2 linked regions of the Arabidopsis thaliana genome follow. The protein of the gene in region 2 interacts with the protein of the main gene of each other region in a biochemical or structural test. Each region holds a gene or a part of one and is shown on either strand. Other genes may lie near its edges. The genes, in order: LFY and SYD.

Region 1 (5,380 bases), on a different chromosome or scaffold from region 2:
CAGATAATAGGATTACCTCTCTCAAATTCGTTTGAATCAAGCTTAGATCTACTTAGAAATCGAATCTAACAAACTAGAGAAGAGCATTTATCTTTACTTCGACAAGGCCGAACGCGATCTGCGATTGGAGTTGATGGTACGCCATTTTCACTTTCTTGGTGCGATCGACCAGTGTCGCGAGCTTATCTCGGAGATCTGGCGCCGATACTGCTGCAGCACTTTCCTCCGCCGTGTATTGCGCCGGAGAGGCCTGGAATCTCCGTGGATAAAACGCTCTTGGCGGGAACTCCATTGTAGGAGGAAATCAGTTATCACACAAGTCCGAAGAGAAATGGATTCGAATTTCAAACAGTCGTTTCTCAAATTCTCTTTTGTTTTCTTCGTTTGCAATTTCTGACACACAAGTTTATATATCCACGGCCCATCTATTTGTCTCAAACCAGGCCCATATATTTGTCTCAAACTGGCCCATTATTGATTAATTATACTGATGACACCTTCACAGTTCTTTCTCGATGTATGAATGGTTATTTTCAGTGCTCTTAACTCAAATGTATCTTAGTACTTTTGAGTTTGACCAAATTGGTTTTAAAATCCGTTAACGCATTAAGAAAACTGCGTGTATAACAAATTAGCCATAACAAATTAAAGGTTTTGACAAAAAAAGAAAAATAAATTAGCCAAGAAGACTAAATTAAAGACTAATAGTTAATTAGGATAACGACTAAACAAACCACAACTACCCAAACCAAACTAGAAACGCAAGTCGTCGCCGCCGCATCCACCACGTCCAGACGTCGACGATCCGGTACAGCTAATACCGCCAACTAAAGCCGCAGCCGCAGCAACCGCATTGTTCCGCTCCAAATGGCAAAGCTGACGCAGCTTTGTTGGAACATACCAAATAGAGAGACGAGGATGAGCGTTAAAGACGGCGTCTATATCCCAGCCATGACGACAAGCGATGTTCACAAGTGGCTTGTAACAAGCCTGACGCCATGAGCCAACGTTCTCACCGCGTTCTTTAAACGCTCTTCTGAGAGCATTTGAAGCTTCTTCGTCTAGGCAGTGGAGAGCGTAACAGTGAACGTAGTGTCGCATTTTAGGCTTGTTTATGTAACTCGCTCCTGATTTCTTCGCGTACCTGAATACTTGGTTCGTCACCTATTTACACATTTTCCCCAACATCAATATAATCAAACAAATCATTTATCATGAGATATATAGTAGGAAAAATGAAACCTAATAAGTTTGGTTTTAATTCGGTAAACAATGATTAAAAAAAAATGCCTACCAAAATTATAACCGTAGTTGTTAGATATTTTTTATAACCCTTGTTAGACTTGACACTTAACTAAACCCAAAAAATTAGATAACAAAAAGGTTTTTGATAAAAACAACACAATAATCAAAATATTGGAACCAATAACAAATTTAGAAAGAAAACAAATAAATTAGATTTTCTTAGTAACGTGCGTCTGTACAAGCAATGGCACAGAGCTCATGGATTCTGTACTATCATCACTAGAGGAAAGAGGACCCTCTATTATCCGCCGAGCAATAGACTGTAACTAGATATAATAATATATACATACAACAAATATCCCTATTAATTGTCAAAAAGTCTAATAATATCTATGTGTACTATGTGTGAATGCATGCAAAAATTTGTATATCGTATCTAACTATCTCATGTCGTTATAGCCAAAAACAAAGAAACAACTATGTCCTTTCCCTAACTCGACACGTTGTCGTACGTTTACTGTCAAAATTGAAATTGAAATCTAACTATATTTATGCTGAAGACAGTATGAAAACAAAATGAAAAATTTAATAAATTAGAACCTAAATTTTGTTGCGAGACATAGCAAAAAAAAATAAAAAATTGAAAACCCTGAGAAATCGTGATTTGTCAAACTTGCTTTTAGAACAGCTGTCCATGATTATAGCTATAGTTCCCCTACCATACCCCATAACTTCCGACACCATTTTTTAAACTTTTGTTTGAAACATAAATTTCAAGATAATGAACGGTCAGGATTAGTTCTTAGAAGATAAATCAAAAGATACCTTGGTGGGGCATTTTTCGCCACGGTCTTTAGCAATTGTCTGGACCTGAAGAAGGAACTCACGGCATTGTTCGTACAAGTGGAACAGATAATCTAAGCCGTTCTTTTTGCCACGTGCCACTTCCCCAGGCTCCGTTACGATAAACGGATGCTCCCTCTGTCTCTCTGTCCCCAAACCACTACCTCCGTTGCCGTTATCCATCCCGTCGTCATCCTCACCTTCGTTGACGTCTTCGTCGGTTTCCACTGACGTCAGCATTGGTTTCTTTCTCCGTCTCTGCTGCTGTTGCTTCTTCATCTTTCCTTGACCTGCGTCCCAGTAACCACTTCCTCCTCCGCCGTTATTCCCCGCCGCATCAGTCTGGTCTTGTTGCTGCACCGGTTCCTCAGATAACCCTGTCCAATCATCTACATATAAATTGTCACAATCACAAAAAATTATTCAAGTTTAGGCGTATATACTCTTTGAATTCCTGTACATGACATTAATCCTCGTACTTCTTGCACTAGGTCTATTTAATAAATATCAGACTATGACTGCATACTCTATACACACAGTAGCTCTAAATCAATATCATACAAGTAAATATATCCAACATATAAATTAAATATGACATATATTATCTTGTATTATGTAACAAAAGCTTAACCAATATATTTAACCAAAAAAAAAGCTTAAACATAAAATTATGTAGCAACTACTATACATATGGTAAGATTCATAAATTAGTTATCTATATTAGTCACGTGAACATATACATACTTTTTCTTGAAAGTCGGGCATAGAAATGTTGAGAACAATATATACACATATTTATAAAACGTGCGATATTTGATATTTCTATATGTATTCATAATTATTGTACCTTCTTGGGAGAGAGCATCAAGAGCGTGATGAGTACCGGAATCACCAGCGGCGGAGAGTAGCAAATGACGGCGTCTAGAAGATTCCTCTTCCTCCTCTTCTTGCAATCGTCTCCGTTCAGCTCTAACGGCAGCTTTGATACCGTACCGTTCACCAACAAGAAGCTCCCAACGAAAGATATGAGAGAGACTATTCATCATCTCTTCAAGCTCCTCGTCCTTCATACCCACAAGCGTGCTCGCCGTAAAACCTAACTCCGCTATCTTCGCCGCCGTGTAGAAACGTATACCGTACGGACCGAATAGTCCCTCTAAACCACCAAGTCGCATCCCAAAAGCAGCCGTCTGCGGTGTCACCGGCTGTTGCTGCAGCGGAGGTGGAACCGGAGGTGGTGCTTGAACCAATGCTCTCGTTGGGTTCCACCGGAATAAGCCACTCGTGAAACCTTCAGGATCCATAATCTATTTTTCTCTCTCTCTCTATCACTCTCTTTTTCTCTCTTTCTTTACTCTTTTGAGCAGATTGCTTTATTGTAAAAATGACCACTCGAGCAACTTCTATATATACAACAGTAAAGAATCTAGAAAATAAATACTAGGTTTTTGTATATTCTTTTTTTATATCGCTATTTTTGCAATAAAGCATTTATGTGTAGATGTAATGTGATGTAAAAGAAGATATGTGTCTTGCTGGGAAATTGACAGTTGGGACTTAACAAGTCAAACTTTTTCTTTCATCGACATTCTTTTTCTCTACTCTGATTATGACCATTCATAATTTGACACGTAGGAATATAAAATGATTAGGGTTTTCACTGTGGTGATTCTCTTCTTTATGCATATTAATATTTACTGTGATGATCCTATCTTTTTGATGTTTTGTTCAAGTATTAATATTTACTGTGATGATCCTCTGTTTTTGATGTTTTGTTCAAGCTGTGTTATTTGTTTTAATTTCATCCTCGGGGGTTTTTTTTTTTTGGGGGGTCTCATTGTTTGTACCATGAGAGCACGATCAAACGGAACCATTCCACCATTTGGTTAGATTTCTTGAACATTTAACCATCTAAAAGTATAAAAAAAAAAATCTACAAATACATTTATGACAAAAATATTTGTTACGATAGATTGATTATTGATAGATTGCTGATATCGTTTAACTATCTTAAGATACATGGCCAACCTACGTCTTTTTCAATTTTAATATCCTTTCCAATCTTCTTATAAGTTCTAGGTACGAATGGAAAGTTGGCAATACTGGCTATATTAAGCTATGATAATCTGTAAGTCATATATGATATATAGAAATACGTAAAAATTTGTATTATGTAAACTTTAACTGTATTGGCATGGACGCATGGTACCATGCACAATCTTTGCAGAAGCCCGATAAGTTACTAAAATTATATTCCCCTATGATTCATATAACTTAAGGGAATCCATTATCCATAATTCCATATATGTCTATCTAAATAAGCTTTGGAAGTATTGTTAGGGGAAGATAAATTTTGTATGATAAGAAATATCAGCACTCTGAGTCTGAGATTGTTAATCTACTATATATAGCCACAAGTTGTTCTTTTGCTTTAAATAAACATAAGCTAATAAATGAAACCTTTATCTATCTGCGTTTTAGGAAACATTAATTGATAAATGCAGTGTGAAAACTCCAGAAGGAGAGGAGGTCAGGTGTGTTTCGGTCTAATCTCTTCAACTATCTCTTACGTGTTGTCATCTCCCTGATTTGTAATTACCCCTATTGCCCTAGTACACATATATTTTTTTTAGTCGTTAAGAAAATCAGAAAACCGAATCAATTTGATAAGTTACATTTCTATATATATTCACCCATCTAAAAATTTTTTTTTTGGTAATGTCAAATTTATTAAATAACAGAAAGAACTTACAAATTAAAGTGGGGAAAAAAGCAATGGTTATTTTGTTATTTTTATATGTTGGAACTAAAAATACAAATTAAAGTGTGGGATTGGACATATGGGTTACGTAAACTTTGTGACTAAACAGTGAAAAAAAAGAATGATGTGAAAATATATAAAAAATTATAACATTGGAATTGAGCCGATAAAAAACTTTAATGTTGGAAAGGTAGCCAATGAGGAAACGACAGGTCAAATCGAAGTTCTGAGAGACTGGCATTCTTAATGCTCTCAGTCTGTTTTATTTTGACTGTCTCACTCCCTCAGTTTCCTCTTACCTTTTCTTTGTCCTTTCTCTCATTTAGTTTATTATTAATCTTTAACATTACAAGTTTACAACATATAAATTCATTACTATTATATATCATCATCTTCATCATTGCGAGTAGCGGCTCGTACTCTTGATACTGTTTTCACCACTGTTATTTAACTGTTGGAGTTTTAGAATCTTGAAAAGACTGAATAATCTGTTCTAAAGCCTCCTATTACTACCCTATTTTCTCAGTATCA
Region 2 (5,269 bases):
AAACAAATTCATTCTCATTCATCTTAATTGGGACCGGAAAGATTACATTGGAACCTCTTATATAGTAAGAGATACTCTAAAACTGAGATAAGTAAACACCACAAAACAAAATTAAGAGATTAGGGTGTGTTTGGGATTTGCACTGAGCTTGGAACATAAGAGCACACAAGTGGGTAACAAAACTTGTCTCTAGATTCGCCAAGATCCACTTTACTCAAGATTCCATTATTTCCAATGATGTAAGCAATATTGCGAGCGGGAAGGTGACATTTGTCTATTATCTCTTTATCAAGAACAACCGCGACCTTCTTCTCCTCGTCAACGAAGAAACTCCTACCGACATTAGGAAACCAAAAACCAGCGACTGGTTTCATATCAACAGCAAATAACAAGTTGCTCCACGACACTGCATTAGGCTCAATCTTATTAGTAATCCATATCTCGACGACGGATGCCCGGTGAAACAGCACCGCAAGCTGCTCTTCTCTAACACTAGCAAGCGTCACAGTATCTCCAAATACGGCTCGGAAAGGCAGAGGCAGACGCGGTTCAAATCTTGAAATCAAAGGATAGTAGAAAATCAGGGTGATCTAGTGATGGTAGACCATGAAATGGGATCTCTTCTAGGGCATACCAGTAAGTGTTTCCCTTTAGAGACACGCCACTGTGTTTGTACAAAATATACCAGTCTGGAGTGAAATCATCAATGACCTCCCATGAATTGGAGTATAAACTGTAAATCTGAAGCTCACGAATTCGGTCCCTACTGGTCTCCAAGTACTCATTCACGAATCTCAAGATTTTGTGATTCTTTTTCTCGTATCCGAGAGCGTACTTCACGCACTTGTGGTAGATAGAATTTCTAGGTAATTCGATATACCTTGTTTGTCCCAAATAAGGGTTCCAAACAACAACCCTAGAAGAGTCTTTGTCTCTGTCCTTGTTGATGCATAAGAATAAACCCTTGGCAGTGAAAGATTTTAGATATTTTGATTCCATCTGCATTGAGATTACCTATAGGATCTATAGACGGAGAGAGTAGATCTACGCTCATCAAGGAAACTCTATAGTCCATCATCATCACCACCTCAATTCCATTCCTCTGTTTCTTCTTTAAAAAGCTCTCACTTTTCGTTATAGTGTTCCACTTTTTGCAGGTCAATCGCAGTTTCCCCAGAGATTTCACCGGAACCCTAGAGAGCACCTCCTCCTCCATATCAATTGGAAGATCGAACATCTTCGAATCGAATCTCCCAAAATCTCTCTCTCTTTTCCGTGTCTATCAATCCATCTCTTCACGCCCTCTTTTAGTGATATAACTTATCTTTTTCAATTTGGGCTTTATGGTAATGGGTCAAGGCCCATTAAGGGGTCTCGTTTAGAACTCTTGATTAATGTCTGAAATAAGTTTTATACATTTCTTCATTTGGAGAGTCATTTCGCAGAGACGACGCATAGCTTCTTCACTTGTCAGCTCTCAACGTTTCTCACCTGAAATTTCACTTCTGCTTCGTCTTCTCGAGCCGGATCTCTAATTTGTAAAGCTCCCTCTCTCTTTCTTCTTGTTCTTCTTCGTCTCCTTCTACACTGATGGATCGTTATTTAGCTATTTAGGGTTTTGTGAGTTGCATTAACTAGAGTAACTCGCGAATTCTTCTCCTTTGCCTTGCGATTTGGGGAATTTTTTAGCTCCATCAGCCAATTTTACAATTTTGTATGTATCCGTGGATTTATCACATGAATTGTGGACCTCTGAGTTTTTTTTTTTTGTTAGGTTCTTCTCGCTTTAGTTTTGCTTTTAGGTACATAAATTTTCCTCCTTTATGATTTACTTGCTCTTGGGCTATTTTCTTTTATTTGTTTGGTATGGAGTATGGACTCTAGAGTTTAGTTTAGTTTTTTTTTTTGGGCACATTGGTTGGAATTAGTCTTGTTTTATTCTGAATTGTGTAATCAATATCTGCATGCTTGTGGTGATGCAGGGAATTCTTATGTGATGGTGTAATTTAAGTTAAGATGACGTCTTCTTCGCATAATATTGAGTTGGAAGCAGCTAAGTTTCTGCATAAACTTATTCAAGATTCTAAAGATGAACCTGCAAAGCTAGCAACTAAACTTTATGTGGTAATGTGGCTTCACCACTCAGTGTATGTTTTATTTTGTAATTTTGAGCTTTATTCCTGTGCTTTAACTTTGTTTATTCTTTCGATTACTCTAGATATTGCAGCACATGAAAACCAGTGGAAAGGAAAACACAATGCCCTATCAAGTCATATCTAGGTATTGTTTTCCTTATATATCGTCGCTGGTTATTTGTTAATGAATTACTGATTAGGTTGAGATGATATAATCTTCTTACGCTGTGAGGACGTGGGGGCTGCTTCTTACTGAATCAGTTGCTTTAGCCTTTATCTAACTCAAGACTTTAGAATCTAGTTATTCTGGGTCTTTCAGCGTCAAGCTGTTTCTCATGCTTTCAAAGATTTATCACTTTTGTTTTACTGATAAAGTCTTTCTAAAACTCCCAGGGCCATGGACACTGTAGTCAATCAACACGGTCTTGACATTGAAGCTTTGAAGTCCTCGTGTCTTCCTCATCCTGGTGGTACCCAAACGGAAGATTCTGGGTCTGCACATTTGGCTGGTATATCCTCTCTCCTTTGTTTCAGTTGAGTGTTTCAATTGTTTTTTTTATTTATTTATTTATTATCTTAAGCTTCTTGCATCAATGTGGAATACAGGGTCTTCCCAAGCGGTTGGAGTTAGCAATGAGGGTAAAGCAACTCTAGTTGAAAATGAGATGACAAAATACGATGCATTCACTTCTGGTAGGCAGCTTGGTGGATCAAACAGTGCGTCACAAACCTTTTACCAAGGGTCTGGAACTCAAAGTAACAGATCATTTGATCGTGAGAGTCCATCCAACTTGGATTCTACGTCTGGAATTTCTCAACCTCACAATCGTAGTGAGACAATGAATCAAAGAGATGTCAAGTCGAGTGGAAAGAGAAAGAGAGGTGAATCATCACTTTCATGGGACCAGAATATGGATAACTCTCAAATATTTGATAGCCACAAGATTGATGATCAAACTGGAGAAGTAAGCAAAATAGAAATGCCCGGTAATTCAGGTAGGGATATTTGCTTCAACATTGTTTCTTACAGAACAAAGCATATCCTTTTTAATCTAGAATATAAGAAGCACCCTACAATTGTTGCCATTAAACCTCAGGTGACATTAGGAATTTGCATGTTGGGTTGTCCTCAGATGCATTCACGACTCCACAGGTACATAACACTAAGTTTCCCGAATCCATCCAGATTATATACATATTGTGTACATAACATTAGGTTTATGAAATCATTTTGAGCCTCCCTGACTCTGCCAATTTCAAATATTTTGGGACTTTGTGCTACACGTATCTGATGCACAATAACTTCTTAAGAATGTATAAAGAGATATATGCTGGCACATGGTGGCTTATTCTCCGAAACATTTGTCTCTCCTTAGAAGTATTATTTTCTTATCTATTTTCGTTTTCTGTATTGGAAATATGAAAAAAATGCTTGCATTTCCCGTGGTGATTTTCTTTGTTTTTTAACCTAAAAAACTTAGATGCCACTAAATTCACTTTTTCAAAAACGTGATTTGATTAAAACTTTGCCTTCTATATGATGTATTGAATCTTACTTGCATATAGTCTGACTTAGGCTCTGCAAAATGTCCTTTCCTCTTTTATTTCATACCAAGATACCTCGTTGGAACTCATCCCCTCTATATGTGGGATCTTATTTTCTATGGCAGTGTGGCTGGCAGAGCAGTGAAGCCACAGCAATCAGGCCTGCAATTCATAAAGAACCTGGAAATAATGTTGCAGGAGAGGGATTCCTGCCTTCAGGTTCACCTTTTAGAGAGCAACAACTGAAGCAGCTCAGAGCCCAGTGCCTTGTGTTTCTAGCTCTTAGGTACCTTACAGTCTCCTAGCCTCTGTATACTCCTTTTGGTGCGGCAATTGTAACTCTAAAAATTTCTGGTTGATTTTCATCTCGTAGAAATGGTTTGGTACCGAAGAAACTTCACGTAGAGATTGCCCTTCGAAATACTTTCCGCGAAGAAGGTAATGTTGGTGCTCACTGAAGTTACTTTCGAATCCACTTTTTACATGCTTTCCCTTGGATCATAATTGGTCTTCATTACAGATGGTTTCCGCGGAGAATTGTTTGATCCGAAAGGGAGAACACATACGTCCAGTGATCTGGGTGGCATTCCTGACGTCTCTGCACTGTTGTCAAGAACAGACAATCCCACTGGAAGATTGGATGAAATGGACTTCTCATCCAAAGAAACTGAGAGATCAAGACTAGGGGAAAAAAGTTTCGCAAATACTGTATTTTCTGACGGGCAAAAGCTTCTAGCATCTAGAATTCCCAGCTCTCAAGCACAAACTCAGGTTGCTGTTAGTCATTCTCAACTAACGTTTTCTCCTGGTTTGACCAAAAACACACCATCAGAGATGGTGGGGTGGACTGGAGTAATCAAAACTAATGACCTCTCAACTTCTGCTGTTCAACTCGACGAATTTCATTCTTCTGGTTAGTGACTATCTTAGATGGGATTGTTTTAACTGATGGGTCTTTCCCTTTTGGAGTGTAGTATTGTTAACTAATTTGATTGATAACTCTTCGAATATGGATATATGGCACATAGCAGATGAAGAGGAAGGTAATTTGCAACCGTCGCCTAAGTACACCATGTCACAGAAATGGATTATGGGTCGACAGAATAAGAGACTATTGGTTGATCGTAGTTGGTCCCTTAAACAGCAGAAAGCCGACCAGGCAATTGGTTCACGGTTCAATGAGTTGAAGGTCTTTCTCTAGCCTTTTCTTTCATTGGTGTTACCTTTTGTTTCACGAGTGATTGATTTTTCCTGGTGTCAACGTTTTATGCTGTTGCTTGTTGTTTGTGGTGGTTCTTACTTTTCCGTGTTCTTGATCTTGTTATTGGAACAGATCAATGATCATATTTAAGTATCCGATTTTGGATATAGAAGTGCCTGACATTGTGATTGAGTAAATTGTTTAGCTATTCCATCTTCAGCTCTACCCACTGTAACCTGTCAGACTGATCCCAGGAATCAATTTTGATCAAGCTAATATATTAAATTTGATCTCAGTGAGATAAAATAATGGCAAGTTGTACTTGGAATTTAGGCAAGCATTTGTAACCTCTTTTATGTATTCGTCTTCCATTAAGGAACACTTATTT

Evidence for each region.
Region 1: the proteins of SYD (region 2) and LFY form a complex in vitro, tested with the Arabidopsis thaliana proteins (one study listed by BioGRID).

The regions. Positions count from the first base shown.
Region 1 is NC_003076.8:24,842,307-24,847,686, reverse strand, and holds LFY (floral meristem identity control protein LEAFY (LFY)), read right to left. Parts: upstream 3,440-5,380; 5' UTR 3,393-3,439; coding exon 2,936-3,392; intron 2,478-2,935; coding exon 2,071-2,477; intron 1,165-2,070; coding exon 754-1,164; 3' UTR 698-753; downstream 1-697. Other genes in the region: AT5G61865 (uncharacterized protein), read right to left, coding at 98-292. UniProt on the Arabidopsis thaliana protein: Probable transcription factor that promotes early floral meristem identity in synergy with APETALA1.
Region 2 is NC_003071.7:12,054,755-12,060,023, forward strand, and holds the start of SYD (P-loop containing nucleoside triphosphate hydrolases superfamily protein), read left to right. Parts: upstream 1-2,016; coding exon 2,017-2,124; intron 2,125-2,218; coding exon 2,219-2,280; intron 2,281-2,528; coding exon 2,529-2,644; intron 2,645-2,741; coding exon 2,742-3,131; intron 3,132-3,232; coding exon 3,233-3,288; intron 3,289-3,805; coding exon 3,806-3,966; intron 3,967-4,053; coding exon 4,054-4,118; intron 4,119-4,200; coding exon 4,201-4,593; intron 4,594-4,708; coding exon 4,709-4,869; intron 4,870-5,269. UniProt on the Arabidopsis thaliana protein: Catalytic component of the chromatin structure-remodeling complex (RSC), which is involved in transcription regulation and nucleosome positioning.